4 linked regions of the Saccharomyces cerevisiae S288C genome follow. The protein of the gene in region 2 binds, or shares a complex with, the protein of the main gene of each other region. Each region holds a gene or a part of one and is shown on either strand. Other genes may lie near its edges. The genes, in order: SSL1, TFB2, TFB4 and SSL2. A codon is read from its position in the direction of its gene.

Region 1 (4,736 bases), on a different chromosome or scaffold from region 2:
TTCTCTTCAATTTTTTGGTAAATACCAAGTGCAATGAATGTTTGGGTGTCTTTGAATATTGAATATTACAGACTAAAAATATTATATATTGTAAATTAAAAGTTGATTATTAGTAAATGTACCTGAAATTTCTGTTTTCGATATCAGTCAAGTCCAAAAATTGGTACTTCTTCCTTTCTTGACCTTCTTGTTCCTTATCACGCTTTTCGTTCTCCTTCTTGCAAATGTAGCCAATGTATAATTGTAGGGGAACACAAACACACTGAGTGACCAATAAGGCAATCTTTGCTGGTATGTAACGTGGAGCAGAGTATGCCCTAAACATCTGTGGAGCAATAATACAGGAGACATTGTATACAATCATTGTAATAGCATTTCTAAAAACTCTTTTGGTGTAACCGGAGGTGTTGCATGAATTCCAGATGTAAATATTGGTAATGACACAGGAACCACTGTAAAGCAAGTACAGAGAAAATAAGTTACCGATCTTATGGGATAAGGGTAAACTGATAAGAACGATACAACCTATAATAGCTGGAATATACATAGATGTGGTTATGAGTGTGATATGACCCCAGCGGGACAACATTTGAGTTGTTATAAGAATAATCATAGCCGTAATGGCACCAATAGGCAACTGCAGTAATGCTGTTTCGTACTTGTCGAAACCAAAAGTACCAGTGATGGTCACTGAAAATGTACCAATGGCACCAGTAGAAATTTGAGAACATGCAGTTAATAAAAGCATCGGCCAAGTAAACTTATCATGAAGGAATAGTTCTTTAACTTGCTGCTTCTTAAACTTCTTTGTTTCCAGGCCAGTTTGGTTAGCTCTGATATGCTCAACAACTTGAATTTTTTCCTCTTTGTTTAGGAACCAAGCATTGGTGACGTTATCTGGAAGGTATAAGAATGTTAGAACACCAAACGCAACTGTAACCAGACCAACGACCAAAAACATTATTTGCCAAGAGGTGAAAGCGGTACCATGATAATGTAAAAAGCCAAAAGAAATTAACCCGCCCACAATATAACCTGTACCAGCCTGTGTGGCCCAGAATCCAATTCTTGCACTCTGTTCAGATTTAGTATAGTACATACCACTAATAGCGATACAACCAACTGCACTCGAGGATTCAAAGAGACCTAGGAGAGTACGAACGACCATCAACGAGGCGTACGTCTTACAAGCAGCATGGCAAGCCAACACGATACCCCAGACGGTAATAAAAGTACCTAGGATTTTGGAAATGGGGAATTTTTGAATTAAGTAAGTGACCACAGGTTCCATGAAAATGTAAGCAGCAGAAAAGATAGTACCCAAATTAGAAAATTCGTTACCTTTCAAATGATCTTTGATACCCATAGATGCAGCGTAGTTCAGCAGAGCCTTATCCAAAAACATCAGAAGATATGTACAGCATAAAAAGGGCAGGATGAAGAGGTCAACTTTTCTCAGGACCTTAGGAGATAATTCATGGGAACCATAGAAGTTGGCTTCTTCGCCTGCTACAACATCGTCTTCATTAGCCGTGGAGCTTTCGTCGAGACCGTTCTGTTTCAGGAATCTTAAAGCAACGTCCGCATCGTCTACATTAATGCTCGAGGTACTTACGGAACAACTATCAGCGTTAGCTGCCTTCTTCTCCACGTCCATGGATCGTTGTGACATGTTTTTCATTGTATTGATTTGCTGACACTCTCACTACTTCTCAGCAACAACAAAGTAAACTTTAATCTATCATACTTTGAACTATCTTATATACGTGTATATATGCACCCGCTGAGATGCTCATCGAGATTGCTCATCACCTCTGAAAAGGCTGTCTGTCACCACCATGTTTTCCGCCGGACCAAATGACAGTTCCTTAAGGGAAACTCAAAGAGACTATATTAACTAAGGAGGATCAACCAGATATGCAAAAAAAACAAATAGTTATGACGGCACTCGAACCAACCAAACACCACCCTATAATTAATGTTGATAATGATAGCGACTCGAAATTTGCCAATAAAACCTGTCTATTACGCGTCATCTACTTGAGAGTAATATACTGGAAGTTCGAGATACTCCGCACAGGGTCTGGGTGGTAGGTTTCTTTGCTATTGTATAGTTTTTCAAGATACGTAAAAGGTCTTCATCTTATCTTATATAGATGCAGGTGATTACTAGTGGGGCAAGTCGGCAGCTAATTGCGTGTGTGCGGAAGGATTGTGCAGTAGAATGGCTCCTGTAGTTATTTCAGAATCTGAAGAGGATGAGGATAGAGTTGCCATTACTAGAAGAACTAAGAGACAAGTTCATTTTGATGGCGAGGGAGATGATCGTGTAGACCAACAGCAACAGCAGCACAGTTCAAGCCACAGGGATAGGGATAAACATGTGCAGCGTAAGAAGAAGAAAAGGCTCTCGAATAGAAACCTGCAAGGTTCAAATGGTGGGTACGCTTGGGAGGATGAGATCAAGAGAAGTTGGGATTTGGTGAAAGTGGACGATGAAGGGGATATGGCATCTCTTGTGGCTAGCATAGTCGAGGCCAGAAAGAAACGTACTGCTAAGAAAAACATAACGCCATACCAAAGAGGTATTATCAGAAGTTTAATATTAACACTAGATTGTAGTGAAGCTATGTTGGAAAAGGATTTGAGACCAAACAGGCATGCCATGATTATCCAGTACGCCATAGATTTTGTCCATGAATTTTTCGACCAAAATCCGATATCTCAAATGGGTATTATCATAATGAGAAACGGTTTGGCACAACTGGTCAGCCAAGTTAGCGGAAACCCGCAGGATCACATTGATGCGTTGAAATCCATCAGGAAACAAGAACCGAAAGGAAACCCTTCATTGCAAAATGCATTGGAAATGGCAAGAGGCCTTTTATTGCCTGTTCCTGCGCATTGTACAAGGGAAGTACTGATTGTATTTGGTAGTCTTTCCACAACTGATCCTGGAGATATTCACCAAACTATCGATTCGTTAGTTTCTGAGAAAATTAGAGTGAAGGTTTTGGGGTTATCAGCTCAAGTGGCCATATGTAAAGAATTATGCAAGGCAACGAATTATGGTGATGAATCCTTCTATAAAATTTTACTCGATGAAACTCACTTAAAGGAGCTATTTAACGAGGCTGTTACCCCTTTACCCGTTAACAAAATTAATAAGGGTTTCACACTCGTAAAGATGGGGTTTCCGACAAGGATATTCGAAGATACTCCAACTTTTTGTTCGTGCCATTCCAAGTTAGTTTACGGCGGATACTTCTGTCCCAATTGTCATAGTAAAGTTTGTTCATTGCCCACAGTCTGTCCATGTTGTGACTTGATGCTAATCCTTTCTACCCACCTGGCCAGATCATATCACCATCTGATGCCGTTAAAAACATTTGCAGAAGTACCTACAACAGAAAAATTTCGATCAGAAGACTGCTTTAGTTGCCAGTCAAGATTTCCCATACTGAAAAACCATAAAAATGGTAAACTACTGACAAGTTCTCGCTATCGTTGTGAAGATTGTAAACAAGAATTTTGTGTTGACTGCGATGTGTTCATCCATGAAATCCTTCATAACTGCCCAGGCTGTGAATCCAAGCCCGTAATAACTTAACGAAAATCTGTCAGCGTATAACACGATCACTCTTCCATCATATAACAAATCCAAGTAGTAGAGAACGAAATAGTTTTTGATGGACATATAACTACATAATTATTACAAAAATAACCTCATTTAATGTCCTATTGTTTATTACGAGAAAATCTTAATAGCACTTACGGCATTAAGAATATTTATTACTATTTTCAATTTATCAGGCACTTATTCAACTAAAAAAAAAAAAAAAATTCTTTGTTTTACAATAATATTAATAATTATTTTGAATAAATATCGTTACATTCTATCATAATGTCCTCTACACGGTACAACCAAACTCACAATTCTATTTGAGTGGGCGAGAGGTTTGAATTTTTTCTTACTGGGCTGTGTGTAGGGGTCATAGATGTCGCTTGTTTGAATGAGTGAGGGTTGGAAGGTGCAATAGGTTTCTGTGGAGATTTAACCAAAACACTGTCGGTCATCCGGCTTTCTCCCTGCTTCCAGCTGTCAAAATCAATCAAGGCTTGCATACATCCCCACTCTGTAATTTTCTTACTAAGCCAGTGTAAATTCACTGGTTTAGTCAGGTAGTCGTTACAACCAGAAAGAAGTGCTTTTCTTTTATCCATCTGAGAGTTAGATGCGGTCAATGCTACAATAATCACGGGCGCCTGAGAGAATCTCTTTGAAGTACCTTTTTCAAGATTGGAGTGTGAGTTATTGAGACTTTTTTGAATGCCAATGCCATTTTGTTTTTCGAAGTCCCTAATCTGCTTGGCAGCTTCTATACCAGACAAGACAGGCAGCTGTAAATCCATAAATATTAAATGAAGACCGCCTTCCTTCCAAATATTAACAGCTTCTTGACCATTTTTAGCCAGTTTATATGAGATTTTGTGTTTCCTCAGAAAGGAACCTAAGATAGCTTGGTTGATGACGTTGTCTTCAACTATTAAAACATTAATTTTGGGGAAAACTTTTTCACTTGTGGTGGTAAAAAGGTTTGGTAAAGGATCTGGTGGAGAGGAAACAGCAAAAGGTGCGTTATAAAGCGAGTTTGAGTAATGCGGCGTTTGACTACTTGTTAATATTGGTGATGCGGGCGTAACGTCTTCTTTTCTTCTTTGTACTTCCGACATGG
Region 2 (4,481 bases):
TTCTGAATCTCCCCTAATCGCCTCAGCCTCTCCTTCGGTATTTGAGGCCCACAATTATCTGCGGCTTCGATGCCCTTGTTGCTGATGACATTTTCATTCGTTGCAGTGATAATTGAATTATTTGAAAGTAGCAAATTTCTTTGGGTTAAACTAAGACCTTCTAAAGATGGGTCTAGTTGCAGGGGTAAGTGACATGTTTGGCACTTCATTTTAATGCCCGTGTCTGGGAGTCTTTGCGAAAACAGTGACTGCCATAAAACGTAACTGAACTACCTAATGTGCTCCCATAGCACTACCCTTTTACTTCTATGAGAGCAAAATCCCCAGGCGGGTGACACTTAAGTACTACTAATGAAGGTAAAAGGACTATGTAATTCGATTATACCACCAGTCCATACTTCCCGATAGTTGATTTAAAATACACCTGGTTCGAACTATTTCTCTCTTAGTTGACACTTTATATACCAACTTTCTATATGAAAGTGATCATTTTACTATAGGATTAGCCGCGGAAAAAGTATTAGCCGCCCAAACTTCTATGTACCTTCCGCATAAATAGGAAAGAAAACAAGAAACTTGAACTTAAAATACTTCCACATCACAAGTATACTTTCCAGGAAAAGCACCAAATTACAGTTATCTAATAGTAATGCACAATCAGGAAGAGTGGCTAGACAAGGACAAAACTTTGGTGAACGAAGAAGAAAATACTTGCATCAACCATTCTTATACAAAAAAGGACACTAATAACTATCGGGTCGGTAAAAGCGGTATTAAGGACTTGAAGAAGCCTACGAACCAGAAGGAAATTGCGATAAAAAATAGGGAGTTAACGAAACAACTTACTCTTCTCAGGCAAGAAAATAATCACTTACAGCAGGCTTGTAAAATTCTCAGCGAAAACAAGATCATTGAGAACAGAAAATCCATAGAAAAATGGAGGACAATTTGTGAGATGGAACTGTCTTTTATTTTAAATTCCACTTTAATCAAAATCAATAGAATGGGCGGCTATAAAGATTTTCTAGAAAAAGAAATGGAGGCTAAAAAGAGAAGATTGGAATATCAGATTGACAACGGTATGGAAGATCAAATCTGTGAAATAAAGGAAAGTGATGACTTTAGACAACTTTCAGAAGTTGAGAAACAAGAGTGGGAGAGTCAAATGAATGAACAGCTGAAAGAGTTGGAAAAAAAAAAAATAGCGGAGCTGGAAAAATTGAATAAGGTGCTGCATGATAGCGAAGGGAAAGATTTTGGAATGGCTGAACTATGCACTAGGTTAAAACTTGACTACAGCTTAATCTTTCCACAATGAAAAATGCGTAAAACGTTTATTCATCTTGCATTTCTATTAGGTACGCGATTACTGAAAAAACGAATGTATTTTTTTGTTGTAGCGCAAATTACGCACCATCATATATTCACATATAACCTAACTTCATCGTCAGAATACAATACTAGTAACTTAGCATTAAAAGCCACCATCAAAGGGAAGAAGTGAACAATATAATGAGTGACTATTCCCTGAAGCATTCGGTCACTCAGTATTTGGAAGAAATTCCTCAACAAGTTCAAAATAGGCTTTATACCTCACCAGCTACATGTCTGGCTATCTATAGAATTTTACCACCACTAGCTAAATTTTTTATCATGGCAATGGTTTTCAACGAAAATGAAGTACCTTTGTTGGATTTAGATAAATGGGTTAACTCTAATGGTAAATTGCAGTTTCAGAATGCAATCAAATCGATGAAGTCTTTGCATCTTCTTATACCAAATAAATCATCTGGTACTTTGATGATCAACCTAAACCCAACATTCAAAATCAGCCTGAGGAACGCATTAACGGGTGGGGAAGTTCAAAACTCATTCGGTGTGGTTGTAGAGGAAAACGTAGTTAGCCTGGACTTGTTGGATGAATATTCAGCTAATAAATGGGAAACAATATTACATTTCATGGTTGGCACTCCCCTCGCTAAAATCCCATCTGAAAAAGTACTGAACCTTTTAAAACACAGTAAACTAATGGAAGAGGTAAACTCTACTGGAGAGTTCAAAATCACTAATGAAGGCTTCCAATTTCTTTTACAAGAAATCAACTCCCAATTATGGACATTATTATTGCAATATTTAAAAATGATCGAAACGTCCAAAATGGATTTAGTCGATGTTTTACATTTTATTTTCATGTTAGGCGCATTGGAAGTTGGCAAAGCCTATAAAATCGATGCATTAAGCGAAACACAAAGAATTATGTTACAAGATATGCGAGACTATGGTTTGGTATTCCAGAAGCATTCAAATGATAGCATTTTTTATCCAACAAAATTAGCTTTGATGCTGACTTCCGATACCAAGACAATCAGATCTGCCTCCAATGCGATGGATAGTGTACTGAGACAGAATAGAGAAGAGCCGTCAGTAAATGAAGACGGCGCCAACGGGAAATCCACAACAGATATCACTACATCAGATGATTTGAACAAAGCAGGTCTAAAAAATCAAGATATACCCGATGGCTCATTGATTGTAGAAACAAATTTCAAAATCTATTCATATTCTAATTCACCTCTGCAAATTGCTGTTTTGTCTCTTTTTGTTCATTTAAAGGCAAGATTTGTGAATATGGTATTGGGTCAAATAACAAGGGAATCCATAAGAAGAGCATTGACCAATGGTATCACTGCCGACCAAATCATTGCCTATCTGGAGACACATGCACATCCTCAAATGAGAAGGTTGGCAGAAGAGAAACTAGAAAAAAAATTAGAGCTGGACCCCAACTGTAAGGAGCCTTTACAAGTTTTGCCTCCTACCGTCGTAGATCAAATCAGATTATGGCAATTAGAGTTAGATAGAGTCATTACATATGAAGGTTCCTTATATTCTGATTTTGAGACTAGTCAAGAATACAACTTACTAAGTAAGTACGCTCAAGATATCGGTGTTTTGTTGTGGAAAGACGACAAAAAGAAGAAATTTTTCATCTCAAAGGAAGGTAATTCTCAAGTACTTGATTTCGCTAAAAGAAAGTTGAAAAAGAAACAATAAGTATATATACATATATATGCCCCTACATATCAATGCATTCAACGTAACAATTGCGCTAACACACGCGTCTTTCTTGCGCAGTAATTGTTTTCCTTTTTCATTCTTTCTTCTTTTGCATCTCTATCAACAAAATTTCGGTATCTAAGCTTTTCCTAAAATATCCCTTAAATGCAAACCTATCGAAAAGTAGGGGAACTACCGAATTTATAATTAACGCTTCAACTTTCGACCTATTGCAAGGCCAACTATTTAAGATATTTCAAACTAAAGTACTGTGTCAATGTTACTGAAAAACTTACACAGTCTCTTACAACTACCAATTTTTTCGAATGGAGCAGATAAGGGTATAGAACCAAACTGCCCTATAAACATTCCATTATCATGTTCCAATAAAACTGATATAGACAACTCGTGTTGTTTTGAATATCCAGGTGGAATATTTTTACAAACCCAATTCTGGAATTACTTTCCAAGCAAAAACGATTTAAATGAAACTGAATTAGTGAAGGAGTTAGGGCCTCTAGATTCATTTACAATTCACGGATTATGGCCAGATAATTGTCATGGTGGCTACCAACAATTCTGTAATAGGTCCTTACAAATTGACGATGTTTACTACTTATTGCATGACAAGAAATTTAATAATAATGATACATCCCTGCAAATATCGGGCGAAAAGCTGCTTGAATACCTAGACTTATATTGGAAGAGTAATAACGGGAATCATGAGTCCTTATGGATACACGAGTTTAATAAACATGGCACGTGCATTAGCACAATTAGACCAGAGTGCTATACTGAGTGGGGTGCTAATAGTGTTGACAGAAAAAGAGCGGTCTATGATTATTTTAGAATAACTTATAATCTATTCAAGAAATTGGACACATTTTCAACACTAGAAAAAAATAATATTGTCCCAAGTGTGGACAATTCCTATTCTTTGGAGCAGATAGAGGCAGCACTAAGTAAAGAGTTTGAAGGAAAAAAAGTCTTCATAGGCTGTGATAGACATAATTCCTTAAACGAAGTATGGTATTATAACCACTTGAAGGGTTCCCTTTTGAGCGAAATGTTTGTGCCCATGGACTCACTTGCCATTCGAACAAATTGTAAAAAAGATGGTATTAAGTTTTTTCCAAAAGGTTATGTCCCAACTTTCAGGAGGAGACCTAATAAGGGAGCAAGATACAGAGGAGTCGTTCGTCTATCAAATATTAATAATGGAGATCAGATGCAAGGCTTTCTAATCAAGAATGGACACTGGATGAGTCAAGGTACACCAGCGAATTACGAGTTGATTAAATCTCCCTATGGGAATTACTACTTGAGAACTAACCAAGGGTTTTGTGACATTATTTCGTCTTCATCTAATGAATTGGTCTGCAAATTCAGGAACATTAAGGATGCAGGTCAATTCGATTTTGATC
Region 3 (4,492 bases), 350 kb from region 2:
TGTCTCCTCAAACATGGATTTAGACTCTATTTATGTAAAAGATGAATCCTTCGAACAAGATGAGCCTCTAGTCCCTCCTTCTGTTTTCAACATGAAGGTAATTTTAGATCCGTTTTTGCTGTTTACGCAATCGACATCTACAATTGTTCCCAGTGTCTTAACACAAAATACTATTTCATCCCTAACCTTTTTCGATGATTATATGAATAAAAGTTTTCTCCCAAAGATTCAGATGACTATGGATTATTTATTCACGGTTGAAGTAGAATCCAATAATCCGTACGCCTTAGAGCTATCCGATGAAAATCATAACATTTTTAAAACAGCATTAGATTTTCAAAGGTTATTTTACAATTTATTGAATGTTTTCAACACAGCAAACACATTTAGAGAAAAAATATCGTACTGCATTCTAGATCTTTTGAATCATTTTTATAATTACTACTTGGGGCTATTTAATTCCTTGATTGGTACTTCTGATAGACATTTAACTAGGAAAATAATTACGGCATGGTTGCAGAATGGTATTTTGATGGATCAAGAACAAAAAATTCTGAATGGGGATGAGACACTCTTTCATGAAGAATCCATAGAGTTATTTAAGGAAATACCTCATTTCTATCAAGCGGGTAAAGGTTTGAGCAAATCTGATTTATTCAATAACTTGACATTGGACACAATTCTGCAGTTTTCGGCAAGCGTGTTATGGATATTAAACTGGCTGCCAGGCTTAAAAAAGGCTATCAATATTGATGAAGTAAGCCAAGAACCCATGTTAGATGCTGATAGATTAAGGAGCAGCTGGACATTTTCTGAATCAATGGATTTAAACTATTCGAACCCTAGTTCCAGCCCAAATTCATTAGGAAATCTAAAAATTTTATTGGATGATAAAGCCTCCAAAAAATTTGATGAGACTATCGACGGATTCAAAACCTTGAAATTCAAACTAATCACTATACTGAGGTTCAACATTAGGGCCTTGTGTATATACGACATCGGGTCTTTTTTTCAAAACACCAAAATTTGGAATATGGATGTGGGTAGTATTGAATTAGATCAAAATATAGCTTCTCTAATTTCCGAATTAAGAAGGACTGAAAGCAAATTGAAACAACAGTTACCAGAAAAGGAAAAAAACTCCATATTTATTGGTCTTGATATAGTCAACAACTACGCCTTGATTAAGGGTGCCAAATCCATAAAAGTTTTGAACCATAACGGGATAAAGAAAATGTTGAGAAATGTAAATGTCTTACAACATGCCTATAGAAATCTTTCTTCTGAACCATCAAAAATTAATATGAACGTCACAATGAATTTTTACTCTTTATGCGGCTCCAGTGAAGCTGAACTATTTGAATATATAAAAGACAATGAATTACCGCATTGTTCTGTCGAAGATTTGAAAACCATATTGAGGCTGCAGTTTAGCGAGGAAATGCATCGTCAATTGAAGAGACAAAGCACTAGCTCAACTAAGGGTTCCATAAAACCTTCCAATAAGAGGTACACTGAAGCTTTGGAGAAACTAAGTAACCTCGAAAAAGAGCAGTCGAAAGAAGGAGCCCGCACCAAGATTGGAAAACTTAAAAGCAAATTGAATGCTGTCCATACTGCAAACGAAAAATGACATTTTTAGTTTGTGTAAAATTAATTTGATAAATAAATGAATGAAAATGATCAATAATAAGCGAATAACTATATTTTTAATTACCTTATTTTTACAATATTTTTCACTTGCACTTTTATTTTATTTTCAGCGCGCAGCTCGTCTTGTTCTGTTGAAATTCAAAGATACCTGAAGGAACATTACAACATCAATCAACACTTGAGTAGAAATATACACGATCCAATAAAATATACTGAAGCGAAGCAATCAGAAATGGATGCAATATCTGATCCAACGTTTAAGCATGCTAGATCAAGAAAACAGGTTACTGAAGAATCACCATCTTTGCTTACCGTTATTATAGAAATTGCACCAAAGTTATGGACAACTTTTGATGAGGAAGGAAATGAGAAAGGAAGTATAATAAAGGTTTTAGAGGCATTGATAGTATTTCTCAATGCTCACTTAGCGTTCAATAGCGCCAACAAAGTAGCAGTCATTGCTGCATACTCTCAGGGAATCAAATATTTATACCCAGAGAGCACATCTGCTCTAAAAGCCTCTGAATCTGAAAATAAAACCCGTAGTGATCTTAAGATTATTAACTCAGATATGTATAGACGTTTTAGAAACGTTGATGAGACGCTAGTGGAAGAAATATATAAACTATTTGAGTTAGAAAAGAAACAAATCGAACAAAATAGTCAAAGGAGCACGCTAGCAGGTGCCATGTCAGCTGGGCTGACTTATGTAAACAGAATATCAAAAGAGTCAGTAACTACCTCATTAAAATCAAGGCTACTTGTTCTTACGTGCGGGAGTGGCAGTAGTAAAGATGAAATTTTCCAATACATCCCTATAATGAACTGTATTTTTTCCGCAACAAAAATGAAATGTCCCATTGATGTCGTAAAGATTGGTGGTTCTAAGGAAAGCACGTTTTTACAGCAAACGACGGATGCCACAAATGGCGTTTATTTACATGTTGAATCTACAGAAGGGCTAATTCAATATTTAGCAACTGCAATGTTTATTGATCCGTCGTTAAGACCTATAATTGTTAAGCCAAACCATGGATCTGTAGATTTTAGGACATCATGCTATTTAACAGGGAGAGTTGTTGCCGTTGGATTCATCTGTTCAGTTTGCCTATGTGTCTTATCAATCATACCGCCCGGAAATAAATGTCCTGCTTGTGATTCTCAATTTGATGAGCACGTAATTGCCAAGTTGAAGAGGAAACCAGTTGTTCCAAGGTTGAAAGCCAAAAAGAAGGTGACGAAACCATGAACGAAAGGAATGAACATTATCCGTTTCAAGCAGGTAACCTTCGTCACAATGCATCGTAATAATACATAAAAAAAAATTAGCTTTAAGCACATGTATATTGGACATTCCACAGAAAAAAAAAAGCTTTTGATGTGATTAGCTTAAGACGTTGTGTCATCTTTGAACTGTTTTGACTTCAATCATATCGAATTTGATAATATAACTATCTATGTACTGTCTGGGTGCATCGCTGTTGTTGCTTCGGTAGATTTATTAGTTCGCTTTGGATAATGTATCATACAATAACATTGCCAACATCCATCATAACAGAAACATTAGGTGATAAACAATGAAAAGAGGAGAAAGCCAGGCGCCTGATGCCATCTTTGGTCAATCTCGTGCATTTGCACTATCTGATTCTTCAGTGAATCCTGATGTCATTGAATATCTTAAAAGTGTTAGGCAAGAAGCACTAAGAACCAACGCCATATCGATTAAGAATCATATGAATCTGCAAAAGAGGACGCGTCACAAATCAAGCATGTACGATGATGAGGATGAGGGGGCCCTTAAAAGGCACGCCATCTCGCCATCCTTGATTAGGCTTCAAAGGAATGTAGAAATATGGGTAAGGTGGTTTAACTCTGTGAAGGCGACGGTGTTGACTAATGCCTACGAGTTTACCGGTTATGAGGACGAAACACTGGATCTTTTATTGCTTTTCTTAAAGAATTATCTCGAAGATATGCCCAGCAAATGTACTACAGTTGAAAAAATTATAAGTGTCCTAAATCAGCATTCCTTTCCTGAGAAGGCAGAAGAGAAGGAAGAAAATCTTCAGATTGATGAGGAATGGGCGAAGAATATTTTGGTACGGCTGGAAAAAACCAAGATTGACAGTGTTGAGGATGTAAAAAAAGTAATCACTGAAGGAGATAAACATGAACTAGTTGGATACAACCAGTGGTTCCAATACCTTATAAACAATGAACCGCAGCATACTACTTTTCATGAAAAGATTACCTCTAAGCAACTTTGGGTTCTGATCAAGTATATGTCGAATACATGGATAAAAGAAATACACAAGAAAGGAAGGCATTATCGTCGGCTGCAAGATTGGCTATTCTACATACTGGTACATACACCCGAAAGAGTCACGGCAGAATATACAAGCATCTTGAGAGATCTTGGAAAGAAATGCCTTGAACTGATTCAAAAGAAGCCAGTTGAAGCACATGAGAATAAAATAACACTCCCGAAGGAGATGGCGGAATTGAATGTTGAGATACCAGCCGCGGTGGAGAATATGACGATAACTGAGCTGACAGTGTCTGTTATAGCAGTGAACTATGGTCAAAAAGACTTGATAGAATAATGTAAATAAATTTCTTATGTAGTTTTTTACAGGAAGTAAAAAGTGTTATTACTTTGATTGACTCATTCTTACATTTACTGATAGGCCGAAGATAAGCGGCGCCCTAAGAAAACTCGAGCGCAAATTGTCAGCGATGATGTAGCCATGCTATAGCATCAATCAATGTCAATAAGCTAATAACAACTATCATCTATACTCCAACGCAGCTCTCTTGTTTAGGTTTCTCGTCAATCAAA
Region 4 (5,995 bases), on a different chromosome or scaffold from region 2:
CGAGTTTATCACCGGTGCCGTCCCAGTAAACTTCAACTCGCCAGAATCGAAGAACAGCCAATTGGGTAACGGCGCATTATACAACTGAGAACGTCCGTAATACGACACAATGGATTCTTCGTTAGTGAACATTGAACGGTCAAAAGTCACGTTGAAGACTTCATTAGGATCTAGTTTCAGAGCGTTTTTGCCGTTAGTATAACCATAGTTTTTTAACAACGCCAATAGATTGAAATCTGACGATAGCGAGATGGATGGACGGTTTGTAACAACAAATTGGTATGTATTGTTCAAAGACGTGCTGTCGGCAGAGTCCGTACCCTCGAGTATTACATTGAAATACAACGTGGTGTTCGCATCAGATAGTAAGTCAGAAGAAGGTTCACCTGAGAACGTTCTAGAACTAGAGTCAAACGAAAGCCAGCTCGGTAAGTCGAAGCAATTGTATGTTATTTGAGCTGTCTTGTCTACAGACGATTTATAGGTATCATTGGAAATTTGAAATGTAAACGATTCATTGACTCTTGCCACTGGGGGGTATTGTTTTCCGATAGGATATGCCTCATAGGGCGTGGCCACTACTAGATGGAGTAGTGATATAGTAGCTGTCAGCAATAATGAAATCTGAAGCTGTGTCATGGTAAGTGAATGCTTCTTGATATACGTAGATGTTGGAAGCAGGAAATCGTTTCGAGGAAGATATAATTTTTCTATTAAGTAATTGTTCTGTTCTTCTAGTGATGGTGGCTGTTGCAGTGTCAATCACTACAGGATGTGAGAGTAAAGAATAAGAAAATAAGTTCTCATATGAAAAGTGAAAATTACTCGACAAAGGAGGGCGACTCTCGGCAAGGAGCTTTGAGGTTGTGGAGATGCTATCTTTAACCATACCTACGATGGGTATTATTACATTCTTGAGACAGGGCTCGAGTACTGCTCGAAGAGGAAACATAAGTTGCCAAAATTTATTTGTGACGCGAATTGCCAAAAGTTCTATGACGCGTTGTTCTTTTTTTTTCGCGTCTTTGAATTATATAGTGGATAATTTTTGCGTTCTGTTTCTAATTATAATAATGACAGTGTGGCGGTTTATTATTTTCGAGGTATATCCTAAATATGTTACATATGTTGTCTATTGGCGGTTCTTGGTCTTGCACGGATGATGTTATCCACCCTTAGTAGAACTTCAGCGGCTTCAGATGCAGAGCTGACTACTGCTCGTTTTAGCTTGTAACTCTCGACGATACCTAACTGTCTCATGTCGGCAATGGTTCCGTTGTTGAGATCTAAACCTGAGGTGGAGATACCGTTGTATATGGAGGATCTTAGTTTGGACACAAGTTCGCTGCTGTCAAAACCAGCATTATCTGCCAAAATGGTTGGCAGTTGTCTCAGAGCACGGGCAAAAGCCTCCACGGCAAGGGACTTCTTTCCGTCGATGTTTTGAGCTTCGGTGTCCACAGCTTTTGACATGACCATCTCGGCGCAACCGCCGCCAAGAACAGTTCTTGTTTCCTTTGTGGTCTGTGACAACACGGACAATGCGTCATGCAGGGATCTCTCAGCTTCATCAAGCGTTTGGTCGGTAGCACCTCTTAGGACGATGGTACAAGCTTCACCAGCTTTGCAACCACTAAACTTCAAGAATGGCTGTTCACCAAGCATAATTTCCTCGATCACGTCACATTCTCCCAGTTTGCATTTACTTGGCTCGTCAAATGTAGACACCACCTCACCGCCTGTAACCAGGGCGAGCCTTTCTACACCTTCAAAATCAGCATGCTCAATTGAGTTTATGCCCAAATCTGTAAATAATTGCTCTGGATAGTCATAAATTAGTTGTCTATTGATGAAAGTGTTGATACCAAACTTGGAAATCTTGGCAATTTTATTCTTCATCTTTTCACGTTCTGCCTTTTCTAGTTGTGCCAATTTAGCAGTAGAATCGACTTTGAATTTGGTGCCGAATATTTTGACCTTGTCTGTATCCAAAGTTGTATTGGCGATTAGAATCTTAGCATTTTCAATTCTCTTGGGTTGGTTGTTACCAAATTTTTTGGCAAGAATGAAACCTTCGTCAAGGAACGAATCTGATAGCTTTCCACCAAGAATCTTAATGATCTGAATATGTTCTAAGTTAGTGGAGCCCTTCAATCTCAAAATAGCATTAGTTGCTAATTCTGCGAAGTGATCCTTATCCTGAGACAAAATTTTGGAAGATAAAGTAGTCTTGGCAATATGGATCAGATCTTCACGGAACATGGTCTTATCATGAGAGTTGTCAACAGCCGCTTTCGTTAACGCATCCAATGCGGCTGCTGAAGCTAGTCGGTAACCTTCAATAATAGTTTGAGGGTGGATTTTGGATTGATCAATCAACTTCTCTGCTTCTCTAAGCAACTCTGCGCTCAAAACAGTAACACTAGTGGTACCATCTCCAACTTCGTCATCCTGCACCTTACTGATGTTCACCAACACTTTGGCTGCGGGATTATCCAGCGGAATTGACTTCAGAATCGTAGCACCATCGTTTGTTACCATGCAAGTGTTACTGGACGCACTTTGCAATAATTTATCCATCCCTTTTGGGCCTAATGTGCTTTTCACCAAATCACCCACGGCAATGGCACCGACAAACGCCGACAAACGGGCGTTTTCCGCTCTTTCTTCTGTAACCTGGTCTCCAAATATCTGTACACTCATCCTGAATCTTTTGAGCTTTGTACGACTGACTCTTCTTGCCTATTTAATGGCCACCTTTCATCCTCTTTTTTATTGCTCTGCTCTTGTCTTTTAAACTCGCCACCGCGAAGAGAAAAAAATTTCAGATCGTTAGAAACGAGGTTTTTCTTCTAAGAAGTATAAGGAAAAAGGTCCTTAGTAAGGATAGATAATAGTAATGATATCTACATTATTTAGTAAAAGTAGCATCTACTGACGTTGGAATCAGTGGAAGATAAATCATGACGGACGTTGAAGGCTACCAACCTAAGAGCAAGGGGAAAATCTTTCCAGATATGGGTGAGTCCTTTTTCTCATCAGATGAGGATTCACCAGCTACTGATGCAGAGATCGATGAGAACTATGATGATAACAGGGAAACGTCAGAAGGACGTGGAGAAAGGGATACCGGCGCCATGGTAACAGGGTTGAAGAAGCCTCGGAAAAAGACCAAGAGTAGCAGGCATACAGCGGCGGATTCCTCTATGAATCAAATGGACGCTAAGGATAAAGCGCTTTTGCAGGACACTAATAGCGATATACCAGCAGATTTCGTTCCAGATTCCGTCTCTGGAATGTTCAGAAGCCATGACTTTAGTTATTTGCGGTTAAGACCAGACCATGCTTCCAGGCCCCTTTGGATCTCGCCAAGTGACGGTAGGATCATTCTGGAGAGTTTCTCTCCATTAGCAGAACAGGCTCAGGACTTTCTGGTCACCATTGCAGAGCCTATAAGTAGACCCTCCCATATTCATGAATACAAGATCACAGCATACTCTTTGTATGCAGCTGTTTCTGTAGGGTTGGAGACGGATGATATCATTTCAGTTCTGGATAGATTATCCAAAGTACCCGTTGCTGAATCGATAATCAACTTCATTAAAGGGGCTACCATTTCATACGGTAAAGTGAAACTAGTTATTAAGCATAATAGATATTTCGTGGAGACTACACAAGCAGATATTCTGCAAATGTTGCTGAATGATTCCGTCATCGGGCCCCTAAGAATAGATAGCGATCATCAAGTACAGCCACCAGAGGATGTACTACAGCAACAACTTCAGCAAACCGCTGGAAAACCCGCTACTAATGTTAATCCGAACGATGTGGAAGCCGTGTTTAGTGCAGTTATAGGTGGTGATAATGAGCGGGAAGAAGAAGATGATGATATTGATGCCGTTCACTCCTTTGAAATTGCCAATGAGTCTGTTGAAGTCGTAAAGAAAAGATGTCAAGAAATCGATTATCCCGTGTTGGAAGAATACGACTTTAGAAACGACCATAGAAACCCGGATTTAGATATTGATTTGAAACCTTCCACTCAAATCAGACCCTATCAAGAAAAATCGCTGAGTAAAATGTTTGGTAATGGGCGTGCTCGTTCAGGGATTATTGTTTTGCCATGTGGCGCAGGTAAAACTTTGGTCGGTATTACCGCAGCATGTACTATAAAAAAATCCGTAATTGTTTTATGTACTTCATCAGTCTCCGTCATGCAATGGAGGCAGCAATTTTTACAATGGTGTACCTTACAACCTGAAAATTGTGCTGTTTTCACCTCTGATAATAAGGAAATGTTCCAGACAGAATCCGGTTTGGTTGTTTCCACTTATTCAATGGTGGCAAACACAAGAAACAGGTCTCATGATTCACAAAAAGTTATGGATTTCTTGACCGGTAGGGAATGGGGGTTCATTATTCTTGACGAAGTTCATGTGGTGCCCGCCGCAATGTTCCGTAGGGTGGTCTCCACCATCGCAGCACACGCCAAATTGGGACTGACCGCAACGCTGGTTAGAGAAGATGATAAAATTGGTGATCTGAATTTTTTAATTGGTCCAAAACTTTATGAAGCAAATTGGATGGAATTATCCCAAAAAGGACATATTGCAAATGTCCAATGTGCAGAGGTTTGGTGTCCCATGACAGCAGAATTTTACCAAGAGTATTTAAGAGAAACTGCAAGGAAAAGAATGCTACTGTATATCATGAATCCAACAAAGTTTCAGGCATGCCAATTCTTAATTCAATATCACGAAAGGAGGGGTGATAAGATCATCGTTTTTTCAGATAATGTTTACGCCTTACAAGAATATGCTTTGAAAATGGGAAAACCATTTATTTATGGTTCCACACCACAACAAGAGCGTATGAACATTCTGCAAAATTTCCAGTACAATGACCAAATCAATACCATATTTCTATCAAAAGTTGGTGATACTTCCATCGATTTACCAGAAGCTACCTGTTTAATTCAAATATCTTCGCACTATGGGTCTCGTCGTCAAGAAGCCCAAAGATTAGGAAGAATTTTAAGAGCTAAAAGACGTAATGACGAAGGTTTCAATGCGTTCTTTTATTCTCTGGTTTCTAAGGATACGCAAGAAATGTACTACTCAACAAAGAGACAAGCGTTTTTGGTAGATCAAGGTTACGCATTCAAAGTCATTACACATTTACACGGAATGGAGAACATTCCAAATTTGGCATATGCTTCACCCAGAGAACGTAGAGAGCTATTGCAAGAAGTATTATTGAAGAACGAAGAAGCTGCTGGTATCGAGGTCGGTGATGACGCTGACAATTCTGTTGGGAGAGGTTCAAATGGCCACAAAAGATTTAAATCAAAGGCCGTTAGAGGTGAAGGTTCATTGTCTGGTCTTGCTGGCGGTGAAGATATGGCATATATGGAATACAGTACCAATAAAAACAAAGAACTGAAGGAACATCATCCATTAATCAGAAAGATGTATTATAAGAATTTGAAGAAGTGAATAGGCTTGGTTTCATTGTCACCTTCCTATTTTGAATCTATTCAGTCATAATACCTTTTTGTTCCCACCGTCTTCTTATTCTTTCGTCGCTGTTCTTTCTTTTATTGATTCGTCACGTCCATTTTCTTCCATAATATAAAAAATAAAAAAAAAATAGAACATTCCTAATTAAAGCATCCAAATATACTTACATATATTTATTTTAAAAATAACTACATATCAATACTTACTTAAATTGGTTTGGAATACTTGAGAAGGGGAGTGAGGGTGGAATTGAACAAAATGCAGGTTATTAAAATGCGGAAAGGTGGGGCTGAGCTTTGCTGTAGATTGCTCGGGTATTATATATCATTTATTTTATTAATTTGTTACGTTATGTTCAGTTTCAAACTCCAAATTTCGTAACTCTTCAATGACGTTTCCTAATTCGTTTTCAGAGTTTTCCAATGACGATTGAATATTAATTTTAAATTTACTTGTTATATCAATAACATGTATCA

What was found.
Region 1: TFB2 (region 2) and SSL1 share a complex: the UniProt entries of both Saccharomyces cerevisiae proteins name them as parts of the 7-subunit TFIIH core complex.
Region 3: the proteins of TFB2 (region 2) and TFB4 are in contact, whole or in part, in a cryo-EM structure (PDB 7K01), measured with the Saccharomyces cerevisiae proteins. Residues at the interface, in NP_015203.1 of Saccharomyces cerevisiae: Leu33 (codon at 1,609), Tyr36 (codon at 1,618), Arg37 (codon at 1,621), Pro41 (codon at 1,633), Lys44 (codon at 1,642), Phe45 (codon at 1,645), Met48 (codon at 1,654), Ala49 (codon at 1,657), Phe52 (codon at 1,666), Asn53 (codon at 1,669), Lys64 (codon at 1,702), Trp65 (codon at 1,705), Val66 (codon at 1,708), Asn67 (codon at 1,711), Ser68 (codon at 1,714), Asn69 (codon at 1,717), Gly70 (codon at 1,720), Ala111 (codon at 1,843), Leu112 (codon at 1,846); in NP_015381.1 of Saccharomyces cerevisiae: Val59 (codon at 2,060), Asn62 (codon at 2,069), Ala63 (codon at 2,072), Ala66 (codon at 2,081), Phe67 (codon at 2,084), Asn68 (codon at 2,087), Met114 (codon at 2,225), Arg117 (codon at 2,234), Phe118 (codon at 2,237), Ile245 (codon at 2,618), Gln246 (codon at 2,621), Ala249 (codon at 2,630), Thr250 (codon at 2,633), Phe253 (codon at 2,642), Ile254 (codon at 2,645), Leu258 (codon at 2,657), Pro260 (codon at 2,663), Ile261 (codon at 2,666), Ile262 (codon at 2,669), Lys264 (codon at 2,675).
Region 4: the proteins of TFB2 (region 2) and SSL2 are in contact, whole or in part, in a cryo-EM structure (PDB 7K01), measured with the Saccharomyces cerevisiae proteins. Residues at the interface, in NP_015203.1 of Saccharomyces cerevisiae: Asn344 (codon at 2,542), Phe345 (codon at 2,545), Tyr350 (codon at 2,560), Ala368 (codon at 2,614), Arg369 (codon at 2,617), Phe370 (codon at 2,620), Val371 (codon at 2,623), Arg380 (codon at 2,650), Glu414 (codon at 2,752); in NP_012123.1 of Saccharomyces cerevisiae: His116 (codon at 3,309), Asp117 (codon at 3,312), Phe118 (codon at 3,315), Leu121 (codon at 3,324), Arg122 (codon at 3,327), Leu123 (codon at 3,330), Trp133 (codon at 3,360), Ile142 (codon at 3,387), Pro167 (codon at 3,462), Ser168 (codon at 3,465), His169 (codon at 3,468), Gln723 (codon at 5,130), Val727 (codon at 5,142).

What each region holds. Positions count from the first base shown.
Region 1 is NC_001144.5:157,825-162,560, forward strand, and holds SSL1 (TFIIH/NER complex subunit SSL1), read left to right. Parts: upstream 1-2,224; coding exon 2,225-3,610; downstream 3,611-4,736. Other genes in the region: THI73 (Thi73p), read right to left, coding at 110-1,681; mitogen-activated protein kinase kinase kinase SSK1, read right to left, coding at 3,931-4,736. UniProt on the Saccharomyces cerevisiae protein: Component of the general transcription and DNA repair factor IIH (TFIIH) core complex, which is involved in general and transcription-coupled nucleotide excision repair (NER) of damaged DNA and, when complexed to TFIIK, in RNA transcription by RNA polymerase II.
Region 2 is NC_001148.4:317,799-322,279, reverse strand, and holds TFB2 (TFIIH/NER complex subunit TFB2), read left to right. Parts: upstream 1-1,512; coding exon 1,513-3,054; downstream 3,055-4,481. Other genes in the region: VPS30 (beclin 1), read right to left, coding at 1-209; MEI5 (Mei5p), read left to right, coding at 650-1,318; RNY1 (ribonuclease T2), read left to right, coding at 3,335-4,481. UniProt on the Saccharomyces cerevisiae protein: Component of the general transcription and DNA repair factor IIH (TFIIH) core complex, which is involved in general and transcription-coupled nucleotide excision repair (NER) of damaged DNA and, when complexed to TFIIK, in RNA transcription by RNA polymerase II.
Region 3 is NC_001148.4:669,241-673,732, forward strand, and holds TFB4 (TFIIH/NER complex subunit TFB4), read left to right. Parts: upstream 1-1,885; coding exon 1,886-2,902; downstream 2,903-4,492. Other genes in the region: exocyst subunit SEC8, read left to right, coding at 1-1,633; BRR1 (Brr1p), read left to right, coding at 3,231-4,256. UniProt on the Saccharomyces cerevisiae protein: Component of the general transcription and DNA repair factor IIH (TFIIH) core complex, which is involved in general and transcription-coupled nucleotide excision repair (NER) of damaged DNA and, when complexed to TFIIK, in RNA transcription by RNA polymerase II.
Region 4 is NC_001141.2:80,010-86,004, reverse strand, and holds SSL2 (TFIIH/NER complex ATPase/helicase subunit SSL2), read left to right. Parts: upstream 1-2,963; coding exon 2,964-5,495; downstream 5,496-5,995. Other genes in the region: AXL2 (Axl2p), read right to left, coding at 1-639; chaperonin-containing T-complex subunit CCT2, read right to left, coding at 1,120-2,703; kinetochore-associated Ndc80 complex subunit NDC80, read right to left, coding at 5,856-5,995. UniProt on the Saccharomyces cerevisiae protein: ATP-dependent DNA translocase. Component of the general transcription and DNA repair factor IIH (TFIIH) core complex. When complexed to CDK-activating kinase (CAK), involved in RNA transcription by RNA polymerase II.